Nothobranchius furzeri: one gene and its partner. The protein of the gene in region 2 purifies or fractionates together with the protein of the main gene of each other region. This does not show direct contact. Links are inferred from orthologs where the notes say so. Each region holds a gene or a part of one and is shown on either strand. Other genes may lie near its edges.

The links.
Region 1: the proteins of cdk6 (region 2) and cdkn1bb purify together in Homo sapiens (affinity purification with western blotting; 8 studies listed by BioGRID and IntAct, counting the BioPlex papers as one, with this or other methods). This does not show direct contact. The link is inferred for Nothobranchius furzeri from reciprocal best matches to the Homo sapiens genes CDK6 and CDKN1B.

Annotation. Positions count from the first base shown.
Region 1 is NC_091744.1:57,770,411-57,779,021, reverse strand, and holds cdkn1bb (cyclin dependent kinase inhibitor 1Bb), read right to left. Parts: upstream 5,626-8,611; 5' UTR 5,360-5,625; coding exon 4,933-5,359; intron 4,803-4,932; coding exon 4,687-4,802; 3' UTR 4,672-4,686; intron 3,752-4,671; 3' UTR 3,427-3,751; downstream 1-3,426. Other genes in the region: yars2 (tyrosine--tRNA ligase, mitochondrial), read right to left, coding at 6,841-7,000. UniProt on the Homo sapiens protein: Important regulator of cell cycle progression. Inhibits the kinase activity of CDK2 bound to cyclin A, but has little inhibitory activity on CDK2 bound to SPDYA. Involved in G1 arrest. Potent inhibitor of cyclin E- and cyclin A-CDK2 complexes.
Region 2 is NC_091751.1:27,652,311-27,660,545, reverse strand, and holds part of cdk6 (cyclin-dependent kinase 6), read right to left. Parts: intron 5,181-8,235; coding exon 5,013-5,180; intron 1-5,012. UniProt on the Homo sapiens protein: Serine/threonine-protein kinase involved in the control of the cell cycle and differentiation; promotes G1/S transition. Phosphorylates pRB/RB1 and NPM1.

The DNA of each region.
Region 1 (8,611 bases), on a different chromosome or scaffold from region 2:
TGGTCTGTTCACAGTCTCTCAAGACTCACACAGGAGTGAAGACAGAGGCAGTAAGAGAGAAGGATGTTAGGTGTTTGTTTGTGGGCATTGCCCCCACCCCCCATTCACAGCCGTAGGTGCCAGGGGACTGGCTCCGTGACGTGGGTTGCGGCCTCGGCAGGAAGTACGGGGAGGAACTTGTGGCTTTATATGAAGTGCCGGAGTGGTTAACAGGAACAGATAACCTGCTTCTGTTGATACAGTGAGGAAGTGCGAATTCTTGCCACATGCGACATGTAGCGGAGAAGAGCGAAGCCGACGGTGTCGTCCGCGTGTTTGACTGCCTGTGTTTCTGGAATTTCCTAGAGTTTAGTGTGGGTTTTCTTTGGGCGGCTGCAGGATCACACTCAGGAACGCTGGTGCTGGAAGTTGGGGGAGGAAGGGAGATGTACCCCTCTGACAACAGCGGTCTTCAGCTTGCTGCCAGTCGTAGATGTTATAGTTGCATTGGAAGGAATGCTTTCACCCTGGAAACAGCTAAGCAAAAATAAGTTGGCCTACAAATGAGCCGTTTTAAGAGCGTCAGCTTGGGAGGATGACAGATTAACATTATTAAAAGGTTAAATGCAAAAGTGTGAAATATTCTTCACAAAATTATTAGAACTGTGAAATATAAAACTCGCCAGGAAATCAGAAACATTTGGACTCTGTAGATTGTAGGTTCATACGGGGGGAGCCGAACTACCTCGACAGATTTATTTGGATGGGGGAGGGTGGTGAATCTACTCTGAGCTCCTCGACTGACACACTCAGCCATGATCCATAAGTGATTGTTCAAACGTAAACGGACCAATCAGAGCTTTGCCTTTTGGCTCAGTTCTTAACCACAACAGACTAGAGTACAATATACTCTGTTCCAGCCTGGGAGGGGCAGTCCACCTTTACACAGGTTCAGATATCAGCAGTCTTCCACAAATAAAAACAGAAATCCATCTACCCATACATCTATTTCCCTCTCCTTATCCGTGGTCTTTGTTGCGGGGGCACCAAAATCAGAGACCCAGACCTCTCCCTCCCCAGCCTCTAAGGCCAGCTCCTCCGGGGGAATCCTAAGGTGTTCCCTGGCCAGAGGAGAAGTCCCAGTCCAGTGTGTCCTGGGTTTTCCTTTAGGTCTCCTCCTGGTTGGACGAGCCTGGAAAACCTCACCAGAGAGGCATCCTACCCATACGATGGCTCCTCTCCGTAAACATTAGAAAGCTCATTAGAAAATAATTAGCACGGGGTAACTAGGGGCTGTTCGTTCAAGCTAGATAATATTGATTTAATCTGGGTATTTTAGTACTTTAGAAACCGACAGCGCTTCCGACTCCCTCCATCCCCAATAGTCTACACCTACAGTCAGTCAGTCAATCCGTGGCCTTGTGGGCTGGGGGCGGAGCTTGTAGACGGCTCCTTTGTTTGAGCACAGAAGCCCAGACACAACAGTAGCCTGCCCCAGCCCCTTAAAAGGCCTTCAACACAAAGGGACAATGGGTCGGGCTTGGGGTGGGGGTGGAGCGGCTGAGCTGAGGTTGCCCACCTGCACACTTCAAAACTGGACAATCTCCACCCACACACCCAGCTTTAAAATACGCTGCAGGTGTCTTCCTGCTTGGGGCTCAAGAAGGAAGCAGAATAATTCTGCAGCAGCTAAATCAGTTTGGATTTCTACAGCCGAAGGGATGCGACAGAAACCGAGAGTCCGGAAGGCTAAAGTCACAAGAGGTCAAACTCTTGTCTGCTCTGTGTGGAAAAAAAACTGTAAAAATAATTACAACTTTCCATAAACAGGATCATCAAATGCGACATGTAACAAATTTTTTTTTAAGTTTAATATATATATATATATATATATATGTAAAACACATTTAATCTCATTTAAACATGTTAAAATGAATGGAAATTCTCATCGTAAATCTTTTAATTAAAATAATCATAAAAATGTGGCATTTGCAAAAACATATTTTAAATGTGTAAATTTGAAGGCATTACACAAATCCCTTGTTTCTCACACACACACACACCTGCTACTGTAGCTAAAAAAAAAAGCTAACATTGTGTTTTATCTCTCTAAATTCAAAGATATTTTCTGTGCACTAGTACTCTGAACCTTTTTTCCAGTGAGCTGCTGAACGTTACTGGCTGCTCCCAGTGGTCTGTTTTTATTCCTCCCATTTTCACTGGATGAGCCCAGTGTCAATCATCTGGCCTTAGACTGGTGCTGCTGGCAGCTCCAAACTCACACAGCTGTTAAAAGCACCAACACGTTCCTAGACGCACAAGGTAAACACACATCTCTACACACATTAGTCATTTCTACTTTTTTAAAACAAAACTTAAGAGTCAGATTTAATTTTCTCTTTTAATTGATTGCAACACAATTTTATCACATTACAAAAAAAAAAAAAAAACATCCAATATTTATCAGGCTCAGTTTGCAACCTCATTGACAAAGAAAAAAAAAATCCTACAAAATAAAATGTTTTTGCAAAATAGAAAAATTTTAGCAAATGCCACTTTGGATAACCGTAATCAAGAACCCACTTTTAATATCCTACATAAAAGGCTTAACATAAATAAGTTAGTATAATTTCTCAGTGTTTTTTTGCATGTTTGTTTTGTTTTTAACAAATTATGTACAAAGGTACATTGCAAAGATTTTACACAAATATACAGACAGCCTGTCTGCAATGAGCATGTTTCTGGTGCATCCTCAGCAGGCTGACAATGACGGGGTGAGTACAAGCATTCATGTGATCACAAAGAAGCTCCCTGTGAAGTCAAATAAGAGGCTGGAAACTAAAAAACAAACCACGAGACTTTTTCCTTTTAGAAGATTAAGGTTTAGGGGCAGAAGGAAAGCAAAACGTTGATTCTTGTTCTTCAAAGCCGAGTACCTCACAGCTCAAAGGAAACACTCGAACATTAAAACGTAGCTGAGGCGCACAGAAAAACTTCAAAAAAATTGTTTCATAATATTCCAGGACTCTGATGCTAAAAGCACCTCGATTAAAAAATAAATATCAGAAAATCTTAACAGAATTTTTACATCTCCTCGTCGTTTAGACGAGTCCAGCCCTTTGCAGGGAGGCGCTGTAATAAATGAAAAAACAAATTAAATTACGATACGTGAGCTACATTTGTACCATTCTTCACTGCTGCATTAGGAAGCTGACGGAGTGAAGGAACACTACAGAAACGGTGAGAAGCCATGATTTTTTCTTTTTAAGTGTAGCAATTAAGGACAGTGGCAAATGTCACACAGTCTGGAAATAAAAATAAAAAACAGCATTTTGGAAACCATCACTGCAATTCTTCAAGTCAAATGAAAATTCACAACTTTTTACAAAAAGGATTGGATTTAGAATTAAGTTCCTTATGTGCTACACATGGAGACATATTTATACCTATATATATATATATCCATCTTTATTAATTTATTTACACACAGGTAGTAACAAAACGAGCAAAAAAGGGAAATAAAACCTAATTGCACACTGCTACATCGACTGCTGTTAGAGGCAGTAACTTATTTTTAATTGAGTGCCACAACTTTAGTGTTTCTATTCAGTGCTTCAACAGCGTCCTCCTCAGTCCTCAGAAGAGCCGATATGTTTCTGATGCTGCGCAGATCCTCATCCCCAAAAAGCCAACAAACAGTCAGGCCTCCAAAAAAATAAAATAAAAGATGCATATAAAAAACAACACCCTCGCAAAAAAAAAAATGCTCGAACTGTGTGGAGAAGGTGGGAAAAATAAGAAAAAAAAAAGGTTAGTATTAACATTTTTGAAAAATCATCTTTTAACAATTCATGGAAAAAGTTTCACTTTAATTATTTTTCATAACTAGACTGTTTATTTCAAGTGTGCACCCCCTATCAGTTTCCTATTTTTAAAAAGACTAACAAGGTTAAGCTAAACTGACCTGTTACACACACACACACACACACACACACACACACACTTATGAAACTAACAGCTATTTTGTCTTTTAGTGCAGTTCTTTCATCATATTTTATAATAAAATCTTTCAAGGATTTACTTTTGAACAGAAAAACATCCTCATATTGAATCACACCCGGTTATTGTTCAAATTTCTGTGCTAAAAAGAAACATTGATGTAAGTGTTCTCATCTGCAGCCTAAACAGGTCCTAAACCACTGTGAGGAAGATCTCATCGTGCCCATCCCTCCTCCCTTTACTTGAATTCGGACCTGCGGGTCTCCTCAGCACACTCCTCTGCCTGCAGGGACAGCGTGCGTGCGTGTGTGTGTGTGTGCGTGCGTGCGTGTGTGTGTTCAGAGACCAGCCCCTTCTCTGCTCTGCTCCGAGGGCAGTGGCTGCTGACGTGTTACTACTACACTGTTGTTCAGCCCTTGTTTACAGTTTAGTAGAAAAGCTGCAGCAGTGAGACGTTAAAGCCTTTTTCTCTCGGCAGAGTTGATCTCATTGTGATTAAATGAATATAAAATGTTGAAATGGTTACTAGAGTCCAGCATTTTACTTACTGAAGATAAAATAAGCGTGCAGCACCGTTAAAGCTACTCGATAATATGTGGAGAGAACGTGTTATATAACCTGCTGTGGCTCAGATCACAGCTGAGGAACAGAAGCTACATGCGGTTATTGTATACGGATGAGTTTAAGCCTCACCGTTTTCTCTCGGGCTCACGTCTGTCTCTTGGGACTGGGCTTTCTGGGTGTGTGTTCTACTGAGTGGCTCAGGTTCGGACAGCTAACCTCGTCTGGGCTGGTATGGGACCTCTTGTTTTGGGTCGGAGGCTCTGCGAACAGCAAAGAAATTCTGTCAGGGAAACTCGGAGCAAAAACACAAGAAGAGGGTTATAGATGTGCTTCCTGTCGGGTGAAAGCCGAGCTCCGGCTCTAAAACCTGATTAGATGCAAATGTAGTACCGTGACTAGCAGGTCTCTTCCTCAGCCCGGTGCACTCCGTTTGACCGTCGGGCTTGCTGGTATCCCCGCTCGACGCCACCAGGACGCAGTTATGGTTCCCGTTTAGATCCACACTGGTGCTCCTGGGGCAGACGCCCTTCTCCCTCCGCGGCTGCCGGTGGTAGAAGTCCGGCATCTCCTCGGAATCCACTAGTTCCCATTTGAACCTGCCGTTGCTCAGTGGCGTGTCACTGGCGAAGTCGAAGCCCCACTTGGCAGCGGCAGCCTCTTTGAACTCCCGCATGTGTTCGTTAAAATCCTTCTTTAACTCTTCGTGATCCACCGGGCCGAACAGACTTCTGCAGGCAGACGGCTTCGGGTGCTCCGACACCCGGGCCTCCGTCCGCTCCAACGTCGGACTCCCGTTTGAAACTCGAACATTAGACATTTCCCCTCCCCCCAATAAACACGCTATTTTCAGTCAGCCGGGAGCGTCCAGCTGTCATAAGAAAAACACGTCGCTGAAAAAAAAATACAAATAAAAAACAACAACAGCGGTATCTCCAGGTCACGGGGGAAAGATCCGACGCAGCTCTACACCTATGCCATGCATACGTCGAAGTGGAAGACGTTAACTGCTGCGGGGCTCTGGAGTCGAAGATGGTCTCCGAGAATCATCAAAACAAAGTGCACAGGAACTGAGGACGCTGTCAGTTTCGCTCCGCTCAGAGAGAAACTGCAGAGAAACCTCAGCACCCAATATGGCGATTGAGGAGCAGAGCAGTGGTGGGGACTGAGACGGGAGGGGGAGGGGCTTATGATTGACACACAGAGCTATTTAAACCCGGCAAAGGACGCTCATTGGTTAAGCGACACCTGGCCCCACCTACTTTATTTAAAGTGACAGTAGGCGTGTATGAGTGGGGAAGTCGGCTCATATTTTTCCATCACGTTTTACTAAAATAAATATTTATGTATGCTTCTTAAAAATAGAAAACGTATTTTTGTGTAAATGACTACATCACACAAGCTTTATAGTTACACATCTAAAAAAAATACTAAATTTACAGGTAATTTGCAAAGGAGTCAAAACCATTATTTTTCTAAACATCTTCAGTGTGCATTACTCTGTTTTTAATAGTTGATTTATTCTAAATATAAGTATTAACCAAATATTTACCAAATTTAAAAAAAAAATCCAGCATCATAAAGCAACACACGTATGCCAAAGACACACTACAACGGAGTGTAAAACAAAACTAATAAGCCAAGAACCTGCAGAAATCAAACCTGCCGTGGGTCGAGCATTGGTTTTTACATCGCAGCTGAAAAAATTCACAATTTCACATAAAAGTCAGCATGCACTCCCAAAAGAGAGAATTACATCATTATATATATATAATACAAATAATTTAAGGTAGTTTCTTTTTGTCAATGACTGCATGAAAACCTTTTTTCTCCTTTTGTTACTTTTTACACAAACTGACAGAAAATAAAACACCAGACGTAAGGCTGATTTTGGCCTCATGTTCCAAAATAAAAGTGCAGTGTTTAAACTGTTTTGTGAGAAATGATGCAATGTACTTTTACTGGAAAAAATGTTTACTTAAAAGGGTCACAGCAGGATAAGTGGTGCAGATGAGGCCGGCTACAGCCAGCCATTAAAACAATAGCGCCATCTTGTGTTCACTTGACTAAACTATTGCAGCACAAAATCAGCAAGAAACCAATCTTATCAAATACTTTAATACCACACTTTTAAATAAGCATCACAGCTATGCATTTACATATTTATATGTCCATAAAAACAAATACTTATAAAGTAAAAGTCCATCAAAATCTTCTCACTGACTGCCAAAGTATTGCTGCCTACCTTCGTCATCAGTCATTACAGTTTAGTTTAGTGCCTTCATTCTCAATCAGGGAGTGTCAGAGGCCGAGCCACTTGATGATGTAGAAATTCCTTTTTCCTACTTTGAGCAGCGTGAGTCCATTAGTCAGGATGTGGACTTTGGGGATCAGCACCTGCTCTGGATGGTCAGCCCGTTTGTGGTTAATCGAGATTGCCCCCTCTGAAACCATCCGATACCTGCCAACATAAACATGTATGATTAAGACTCTGGGTTAAAGGAGAATGACCTTGTGGAAAACAAAGACCGCTGCTTTGAAATTCCTAGAGTTAAAGCTGCTATAGCAAATCTACAGAACAAGGTTTTGAATGCAAACACGGTCACGGAACACTCAACGTTCCCCTCGGGTATCTTCACTGGGTTCACGTCCACCAGAACCAGAATCCCGTGTTGCCACAGGAAACGAGAGCGTGCTAAAAACCAGTTGCTGTTTTCTAGGTCCAAACATCTTTTGTTGTCTGACTTCAAACTGTGTTTTTCTTTTTGGGACTCGGGTAGTTTGTCCTCAAGTTGAAGTGGTAGCAGCCGACTGTTTCTCCTCTGATATAATTGAGCAGAGGACCTCTCACACCAGTGCTGTTCTGTTGCTGAAATATGAGTGTGTAATGAATGGAGGACACTGAGAAGTGCGGCGGTTTGGTGAGAACAACAATGTGTTATTGGCGGAAGTTTTCAGACAAACGGGAGAGAACTACTTTATTCATTTTTTTTGTTGTTTTTTAATCTCCACAATATATTTTTAGCTGTACCACGTTAGAATGTATTTAAGAGGCATGAAAGACTGTTTTAAGCTAATTTGTTTTACAGATTTGCTATAGCACTAGAGCTGAAACAACTAATCGATTTAATCGATTATTGAAATAGTTGACAACATTTTTTGTCATTGATTTATAATCACATTTTACCGTAAGCGGCCTATTTTTAACACAATTTGTCACATCCATTACAATCTGTTAAATTTGCAGCGAGTGAGCCACTGACCTACCAGTGGAGCAGTAGAAGAAGAAATCAGCCAATAGGTACACTTGTTTTTCATGACGTACCACGCACATCGCTGATGTGCATGCTCACACCGAGGATGGCGGAGCAACAAAAAGTACAGAAAAAATAACAAACTATAAAACTGAGGAAAATACCCAAACAAAAACATCAAGCGTATGGGAGCACTTCACTCTAGAAGTCGTGAAAAGACGGGTGACTAGGGATGGGTACCTTTGACATTTGAATCGATCCGGTACTAATTCCCGGTACCTAAGAATCGATACCGGTACTTAACGGTACCAATATTCGATACTTTTGAGTGTTTAATATTTTTAATTCTCTTTTATAATTAAATATATATTTTTCTCAATATATAACAATATTTGATAAATATCACGATAAATAACATTAAACTGTTTGTATTAACATCGTCCTTGTAGTTTTAAAAGTTGATAATTAAACTGAAGCAAACATCTTTGCTGTGAACTAAATTTACTGTGTATCTTCATTCCTTTTACAGTCTCTTTTTCAATTGATTTTTCCTACTGGGAAGTTAGAATTTCTGAGGAGAAAGCGAACGCACCATTAGATGATAACAATGGTGGCATAGGAAGCTAACATATCAAGCTAACGTTATCTTAAACAGTTTATTTAGCTGCTGGAGCAGATTAAAACGATGATGCCTCACACTTAGATCGTTGTCGCTGGTTTCGTCTTCACCCAATCACCCGTCGCATTTAGTAAAGTGAAGCCAAAATTTAGTGCGTGTTCATGTTCTTCTAGTCGGAATTTCTGAGTTCCGAGGAGAA
Region 2 (8,235 bases):
TTGTGTTAGGTATGGTCTGATCTTTCGTTTATTATACAGCGGCATGAACGAGCAACAGAGGCAACATGATCTTTAAAGGTCAGGTGTTCATCAATCACAACACCCAGATTTCGATTAATGAACTTTTACAAGAAAATACATCTCAAAGTTAGTGATTGGTGTGGTCGAAACAACCATCATTAATTTTCATTTAAATTGCAGTACAACAATTGTGCAATCCAGGATGTAAGGCAAAGCGGATTAGAAAATAGCGTTTACAGCCCCGTTGACTTACATTCATTTTTTTCATTTTTCCGGGGACCCATGATGTGGAAGTGACTTAGGCTCCTTATATCACGATATATTGACGATTTCACCTCGATAACGATAAACGGACGATAACTACAGGTATGCGCAGAAACTAAAGTTGTCCAATAGATGAGGCTGTCACATGTATTACGTTGAGTCACATTTTTACACGACAAGGTGGAACAGTAGCTTGAAGGGACATGAACGATGCCAACCTACACACATCTTTTAAATATTTTTAATCAAATTTATTGATATGGGAAAAATTCTTAATAGTCAGAAATTTCGATAACAATAAATTTTTTTATTTATTGTCCAGCCCTAGTTCGAACCAGCTGTTAGCTCATTTCTCCCACCAGATTTTCCTCTTGACCCTTTAAGATCTGCTATCGAACAAGTTTGCCAGATCTTATATTTACAGTTTTACATGCTGTGGTGACAATTTTTGGAGTTTTTCAACCTGCTATACACCAATACAACCCTTACATTCAAAATTTTAATAATATATATGTAAAATGCTGAAAGCAACTAAATGTTTTACTAACAACTGCAATTATCCATACAGAAATTGAAAATCGTTTTGTTTTTACACATATTTTTCATTTTACAGAAATGTCAGCTTTATCCTTTCAAACGACAACAAATGTATTTTAAGTGTTTCCATAAATTAGTTTCTGAGATACAGTCATTTATATAAACTGTAACAAAAACAAAAACAATAATAATCAGCAGGAGTCTAATATAATAATGTTGAATATTTGTCGCAAAATTTTCAGTAGTATATAGTTTTCCTTTATCTCTCACTATTAATAATAATAATAATAATAATAATAATAATAATAATAATAAAGAATATTGCATGAATATTTATGTGAGGAAACAAAAACTGAAACTTAAACATCATCCGGTGCTGTAATGGCGTCAACCACTTCGAGGAGGGAGCATGCACCGTTTGGCGGGTCCGTGATTCATCAAAACATTCATAGTGGTGTGTGTGTGTCGGGAGTCTGTAGTGGGTGTGTGATGTGTGTAGGATGTGGTTGTCTAAACGTATTATTGCAAAAAAGCACAAGAAAAAGCCTAAAGACTGGGACTACAAAGAACTACAAAACAGTAAACTTCGTGGGAAAAGGACGTCAAAGCAGGTGATTGGGTGAGTGATAACCATGTGACAGTTCACGTAGACAACGTGATGACGTTTATTCTAGCCTGTGAAGCCCTATGAGCTGCAGATCATAGGGCTTCACAGTATCTGTGTCTGAATGAAAATGCTTTTCTTATTTGTGCATTTTGGTTTTTTTCTTGCAAACTCATTAGCGGAAATGCGCAGCGCTCAGGGACGTGTTTAGTGTGTGAGATATAAGCGTAACTCCTCCTGTTTAATATGCAAAAAATATTTTTTGTTCCATCTTATTTAGTTACAGTTCTACAAGCATTTGAACACAGATATGCAAATGGGATTGCCGGCACTTCCATCTGTCATAAAGGGTTGATTCTCCAAATGGATCATTCTGACCAGTGTCTGCTGTAGGTAAGATACTGTCTACTCTTACAGAACCTAAAACAAAGCTCCACTTTAAAAAGCAAAACAAGGCATAATTTTCTCTGTTGTAGAGAGCATATGATTGTAAAAGTTTCATGCCTCTTTATTCCAACGCTTCCTTTCAGCTCTTCTCTATGAGAATCAGCTCCTCTAAATCTGAGACCATGGTCTTGATTCGGAAAAGGGTAGAATGCCTTCTCTGGGTCAGGGATGAGGTCCTGCCCCAAGTGGAGGAGTTTAAGTATCTTAGGGTCTTGTTCACGAGTAAGGGAAAACTGGAGTATGAGATCAATAGGCGGATTGGTGCTGCATCTGCAGTGATGTCATGGTGAAGAGAGAGCTGAGTCAGAAGGCAAAGCTCTCGATTTACCAGTCGATCTACGTTCCTACCCTCACCTATGGTCATGAGCTTTGGGTAGTGACCGAAAGAACGAGATCACAGATACAAGCGGCCGAAATGAGTTTTCTCCGAAGAGTGGCTGGGCTCTCCCTTAGAGATAGGGTGAGAGGCTTGGTCATTCGGGAGGGGCTCGGAGTAGACCCGCTGCTCCTCCACATCGAGAGGAGCCATTTGAGGTGGCTCGGGCATCTGGTCAGGATGCCTCCTGGACTCCTCCCTGGTGAGGTTTTCCGGGCACGTCCAACCGGAAGGAGACCTGAAGGCGGACCCAGGACACGGTGGAGGGACTATGTGTCTCACCTGGCCAGGGAACGCCTTGGGATTCTCCCGGAGGAGCTGGCCCAAGTGGCTGGGGAGAGGGAAGTCTGGGCCTCTCGCCTTAGGCTACTGCCCCCGCGACCCGACTCTGGATAAGCGGATGAAAATGGATGGGTGGATGGATGGACATTAAAATAAAATACATAAATGTTACAGGCAGTGAAAATTTAAAATACATATAGAAATGTAATCAAATGCTTCCAATAAAAAAATATGGTGTCACGAAGTTCTGGTGAAACTAAAACTTTAAACATCTCAGTAAAGGGATGGTGTGTACTTCCCTGGCGATAGGGGGCAGTACATACCTAAATTGTTGCAAGCATGCTGTGTTTTTGAGTTGGAGTAAGACCTTACCAACAGATGCTCAGTAGGGTCAAAAATCCCCGCAAGCACAAACTCCAGCAACAAGACAAGCACATCACTGGCAATGAGTGAAGAGGTAAATGTGTAAACCAACGAATGGTGAAAGTTTTGTAGCCATTTGTTACAAACCAGTAAATGCATTTTGTCCTCATGGGCTTCTGTAGAAGGAAACATGGCATCTAATATGGTGTCGCCCAGTGACATAAACCCGCTACCATGTATTTTAGACCTTTTTTATTGTTATATTTTATGAAGCCGCCAAGTTTTCTCAACCCCTCCTCCCTGCTAGCCTGGACTGCCAGACTCATCCTCTGTTCTACACAGAGAACTATTCTGGTTACTCACAGGCAGAGAGGCACATGAGGGGTGGGACTAGCCAGCTCAAAAATAACCACTCAGAATAAGGACAGAGATGCTGACGGTACCGCGCGACGCTGTAGTTTTTTAGCTGTAGTCAAAAATGGCATCTTGCGACAGTGCAAACATCTTTCTTTAGAAGAAAGGCTTTTAGCTTCTTCTTGTTGTGGTTTTAAAGATGTGTTGAAGTAATTTAGAACAGAGGAAAAGAGCCGCAACGAACTCCCCTCCAGTTGCCACGCTTACGAAAAATTCAGCGTCGTGGTGTGAGACGTATGTTGCTCAGCGCTGATTGGCTCGGCTAGAATTCTCAGGGGGTGGGGTTATTTGAATAGGAGAGTTCCAGTAGCCAGCCCCATGCTCTGGCTAGCCAGGCTACCTCTGTGCCTCCAACATGCCTCCATCTAAAAGGCTAGGTTATCCAGAGTTATCTCTGTAGTTATACTGCTATAGGCTAAGACAGCTGGAGGACATACTTTCAGCTGTTAACTTTACTTTCTCTCTAAGTGTTTCTCTCCCCAGAAGAAGCTACAATGGAGTTCTGCTGAACTGTGATAGCCTCATGGAGGGGGCCATCGGCTAGCACACTGCTGCTAAAAACATTCTCGCTCTCCTGATTTTAACATTTTACTTTCTTTGACATGGAATGTGCTACTACTAGTTTACCTGTTGAATTAATTATAGATTCACTAAGATAGACAATAAAGTTTATTTCTTAATAAAAAGAATATCTACTAAGTAATTACAATGCAGCTTTTCACAATCAAAATATGTGACTCTTATCGAGATGATTTTTCCCATGTCGATACATTTGATAATTAAAAAATGAAAAGATGTGTGTAGGTTGGCAATGTTCATGTTCCTTTAAGAAGCTGTACCACCTTAAGTCACGTAAAAATGTGACTCAACGTAATACATGTGACAGCCCCATCTAGTGGACAACTTTTGTCTCTGCGCATACCTGTAGTTATCGTCCATTTATCGTTAGAAGTGAAATCCTCAATATATCGTGATATTGAAATTGGGCTATATCGCCCAGCCCTACAATGTAGCAAAAGAAACACTTGTTAGCATATATGTTGTGTGTATGTGTGTGTGTGTGTGTGTGTGTGTGTGTGTGTGTGTGTGTGTGTGTGTGTGTGTGCACACGCGCTCTGTCTTCTTGATCCCCAGTGAGTCGTGGTGGATGGCTGCTTACACTGAGTCAGGATCTTCTGGAGGTTTCTTCCTGTTAAAAGGGAGTTTTCCTCTCCACAGTCGCTACATGCTTGCTTAGTATGAGGATTGCTGTAAAGACTCTGACACTAGTCAGTGACTTGATGCAACCTGCTGGGTTCCTTATGTAGGAAACTTTTTACTGATTGGCTTAATGAACTGACCTGTAATGGAATGTTTACTTCGTGAAGTGCCTTGAGACGACTCTTGTCGTGATTTGAAGCATATACATAAACTGAATTGAAATTGAATTTTATAACTGGGTATTATTTCAATCAATTTCAACAACATTTCAATGGCTATTTCTAGAGATTAAAACGACACATTGTGAGCCTGCCATAGCACATCAGAATAGTTTGCAGTTGTGTTTTTTTAACGACACCACATACCTGCATATATTAGTCACAGAAATAAACAACAACCGTTAGACAGGTATATATTTAAAACATAACAATTGAAGGGCTGAAAGCTAAGTGGTCAGTGTTGGGTGTATGGCAGATGCAAAACCTCAAAGGTGTCAGGACTCACCACAGACGTAAGCGCCATCTGAAAGCTGTAGATGCGTGCCAGCCCGAAGTCGGCCAGTTTGATCTGTCCTCCGCTGGTGACCAGAATGTTTTGGGGTTTCAGGTCCCGGTGAACCACGCGGTGTGAATGCAGGAAGTCCAAACCCTGAAGAAGCTGGAACATCATATCCTGGAAGCGAATATGGAGAGATCAGAGGATTTATAGGATCATCACAAGGATGTCAGAACCAGAAGCACAACAGGAGATAAATACCAGAGGTGTGACCAAGTCACTGCTTTGCAAGTCACAAGTAAGTCCTGTTAAGTCTAGAGTCAAGTCCAAGTCAAAGATAACCAAGTCCAAGTCGAGTCCAAAGTCCTTAACTTTGAATTTTCAAGTCCTAATCAAGTCATTTGTCCGACTTCAATTTAATGACACTAGACACGTTTACATGTGCCATATTTCCCCAGTCCGATTCAAATCTTGGTTGATCGGAAATCCCAAACCTCTGTTCAAATGCACACTAACTGAAATGATCCGATCATGCTTTGAGTTTAAATGCACCAAGTATTCAATCAGCATGCGCAGAAATTTCTTTCCTGGAAAAAAAAATGTGTAAACAAACATCATGAAGAAATTAAAATGTAAAAACAGAAATAAACCATTTTTTCTGATTTGCTGATTCATTTAATCAATTTAATGTATTTATTTTTCTCATAGAAGTTATGCTTTAACTGCAGATATATACTTTACTGCGTTTCATTATTAATAATATTAAAATAAAGGAGGGTTATCCTTGTCTCTTCCTCTTGATCAGCTGGTCCGTGGGTCTGACATGACGGCTTGGCGCAGCGCTGCATGGAGCGGGGGGGTGGGGTGTCAGACTCGTTTTATTACTGAGCTCTGTTGTGGCTTATTATTAATAAAATGTGACAGTCAGCTGAAACTGCTGAGAAAAGTTGGTTTAAACTAAATAGCAGGAGATGTTCAGAAAGTCTGGAAGCCTGTGTTCATCATGTGTTAAACGAACCGCATCTCTTCTCATCTGCGTTAACGTAATTTTACACAGATAGTTGCCCAGAATATTTAACTGAGGATGTTTTTCTACCCAACATCATTCTCCTTAAACTCAAACCAGGTCTGTGTAACCGATGTTACCCTGTCTTCTTTACAGCACATCTCCATCCACCTGCGGCAGAAACAGCTGCTGCGTTCACAGAAACGGGGATCCGTGCTGCAAACCCAAAATGAATCTGTATATTTTCAGTACAGACTTGAATATGTTTACCGAATGATTTGTGCAATAATCAGATTTTTATTTTTCTTCCACAAAATGCAATTTCTGGATCAGATATTACAGAAACGGGGACGGTTTGCCATCATATTTAAAAGCCGGCATTCGTTAATTAGGCCGTCATTTTTTAAGTCAGGCAGTCCAAATGATGATGGGGAGGCTCACTAGCTGTTGCACACATGCACAGTGGGCATTATTTCAACAAACCGAATGGTGGTGTACATCAATCGGGATGATGATTGGACAAAATCACCTCTCTCAATAGGATTGAAAATTCATTCCGATCGGGACGAATCGGATCAGAACATTCCCACTGACATGTTTACATGCAGAATTTTTGATCTGATTGGGTGTTCAATCCAATTAATTGTGCGCATGTAAATGTGGCTACAGATAATAAATACATTTCAGAAATAAAGCTTCTTAAAGCTTCATTTTTTTGCTCAAACAAGCAGAAAGTGCAGCTGAAACTGATTATAAACAAAGTGCTGCTGCATTTAGCAGAACAAGATCAAACCCAGAACGATGAATGATTCATGATTTTTGTCCATGTTGTGCCAATTTTGTGCTAAAATATCAAAAATGCTCAAGTCATCAACAATTCCAACAAATGCAAGTTGATTTAAGTCACAAGTCATTGGCGTTCAAGTCCGAGTCAAGTCGTACGTCTTTATAGATTTTATCAGATCAAGTCAAAAGTCATTAAAATAACTCGAGTCTGACTCGAGTCCAAAGTCATGTGACTCGATTCCACAGCTCTGATAAATGCGTATTTGATAAAAGTTTGTAATATGGTGAATGTGAATCGGCCAAATGTTTGTAGCTATATGAAACTTTTGAAATGCATTTTATATGTTGAATGTGATTCGCTGTGACAGATGGCTTTTTCAAATCCCCACAACAATTCAGTTTTATCATTCAACTCTATGACAAAAGACATGAATGACAGGAACCTGCAGCAAGGAGCTGAGTGTCAAAGTCAGCTTAGCATAGAAGAAGTTAATGAGAGGAGGCCTGTGGCAGATGTTTGATACACACACACACACACACACACACACACACACACACACACACACACACACACACACACACACACACACACACACGAACAGGCGCCTGCTTTGTACAGCACAGATCTCTGTTACTAAGCAGATGTCTTGCTTTAGTTAATTGGCGCTTTCTTTCTGTATGTGCCCAAAGACTGACCTCCGACAACAAATTATCCATGTCATGCTGGCAAAAGTAAACTGTTGGGAGAAGGAACGAACTGTTCTGAAACCAGCTTAGACTTGTTCTTTTCAAACCGGAATATTCTCAAACAGGTCTCACACCTGCGAACAAATAAGTTACAAAGAATTTGGGGCTAGGTAGCTTGAGCAGAGTTCTCGCTTAGTCTTGATCTAATAAAGTCTGACAGAGTGTTTGATTCACACTTCTACCATAATCCACTTAGTGAGTAGGAGGTGATGAGTAGAACGAGGGTTAAAATGATGATGTCTTCTAGAAACCAGATAAGTCCCCCAACCACCGCAACCCCCCTCCAAGACCTCACAAATGACATGGACTCGGGCCCACAGCTTCATTCAGTGGCTGACCAGCTGGTGTGTGAGTCAAAGAAGTCTACGCACTCGAGCGGAAAACACCAGCAAATGGTGCTGGGTTGGCCGCTGTGCTCGGCCCCTCAGTACGGCGGAGATGATGAGCGGTGTGTGTCTCGATACACAAACAAACAGAAATGCCTCCTTACATTGTTTTAAGTGTGGTGTTAGTGTATCTACACACTCACAACCAACATGTAAAGGGTGCACCAATCGGTGTACAAACACATGCACGTGTGTGGGTGCCCTCTGACCAGGAAAAGGACACATAAACAGACTTCCCTTTCTACGTCTCCATCCAGCCGTGACCCTCAGTGAAGGGCAGCAGACAGACGGCCATAGGACGAAGGCA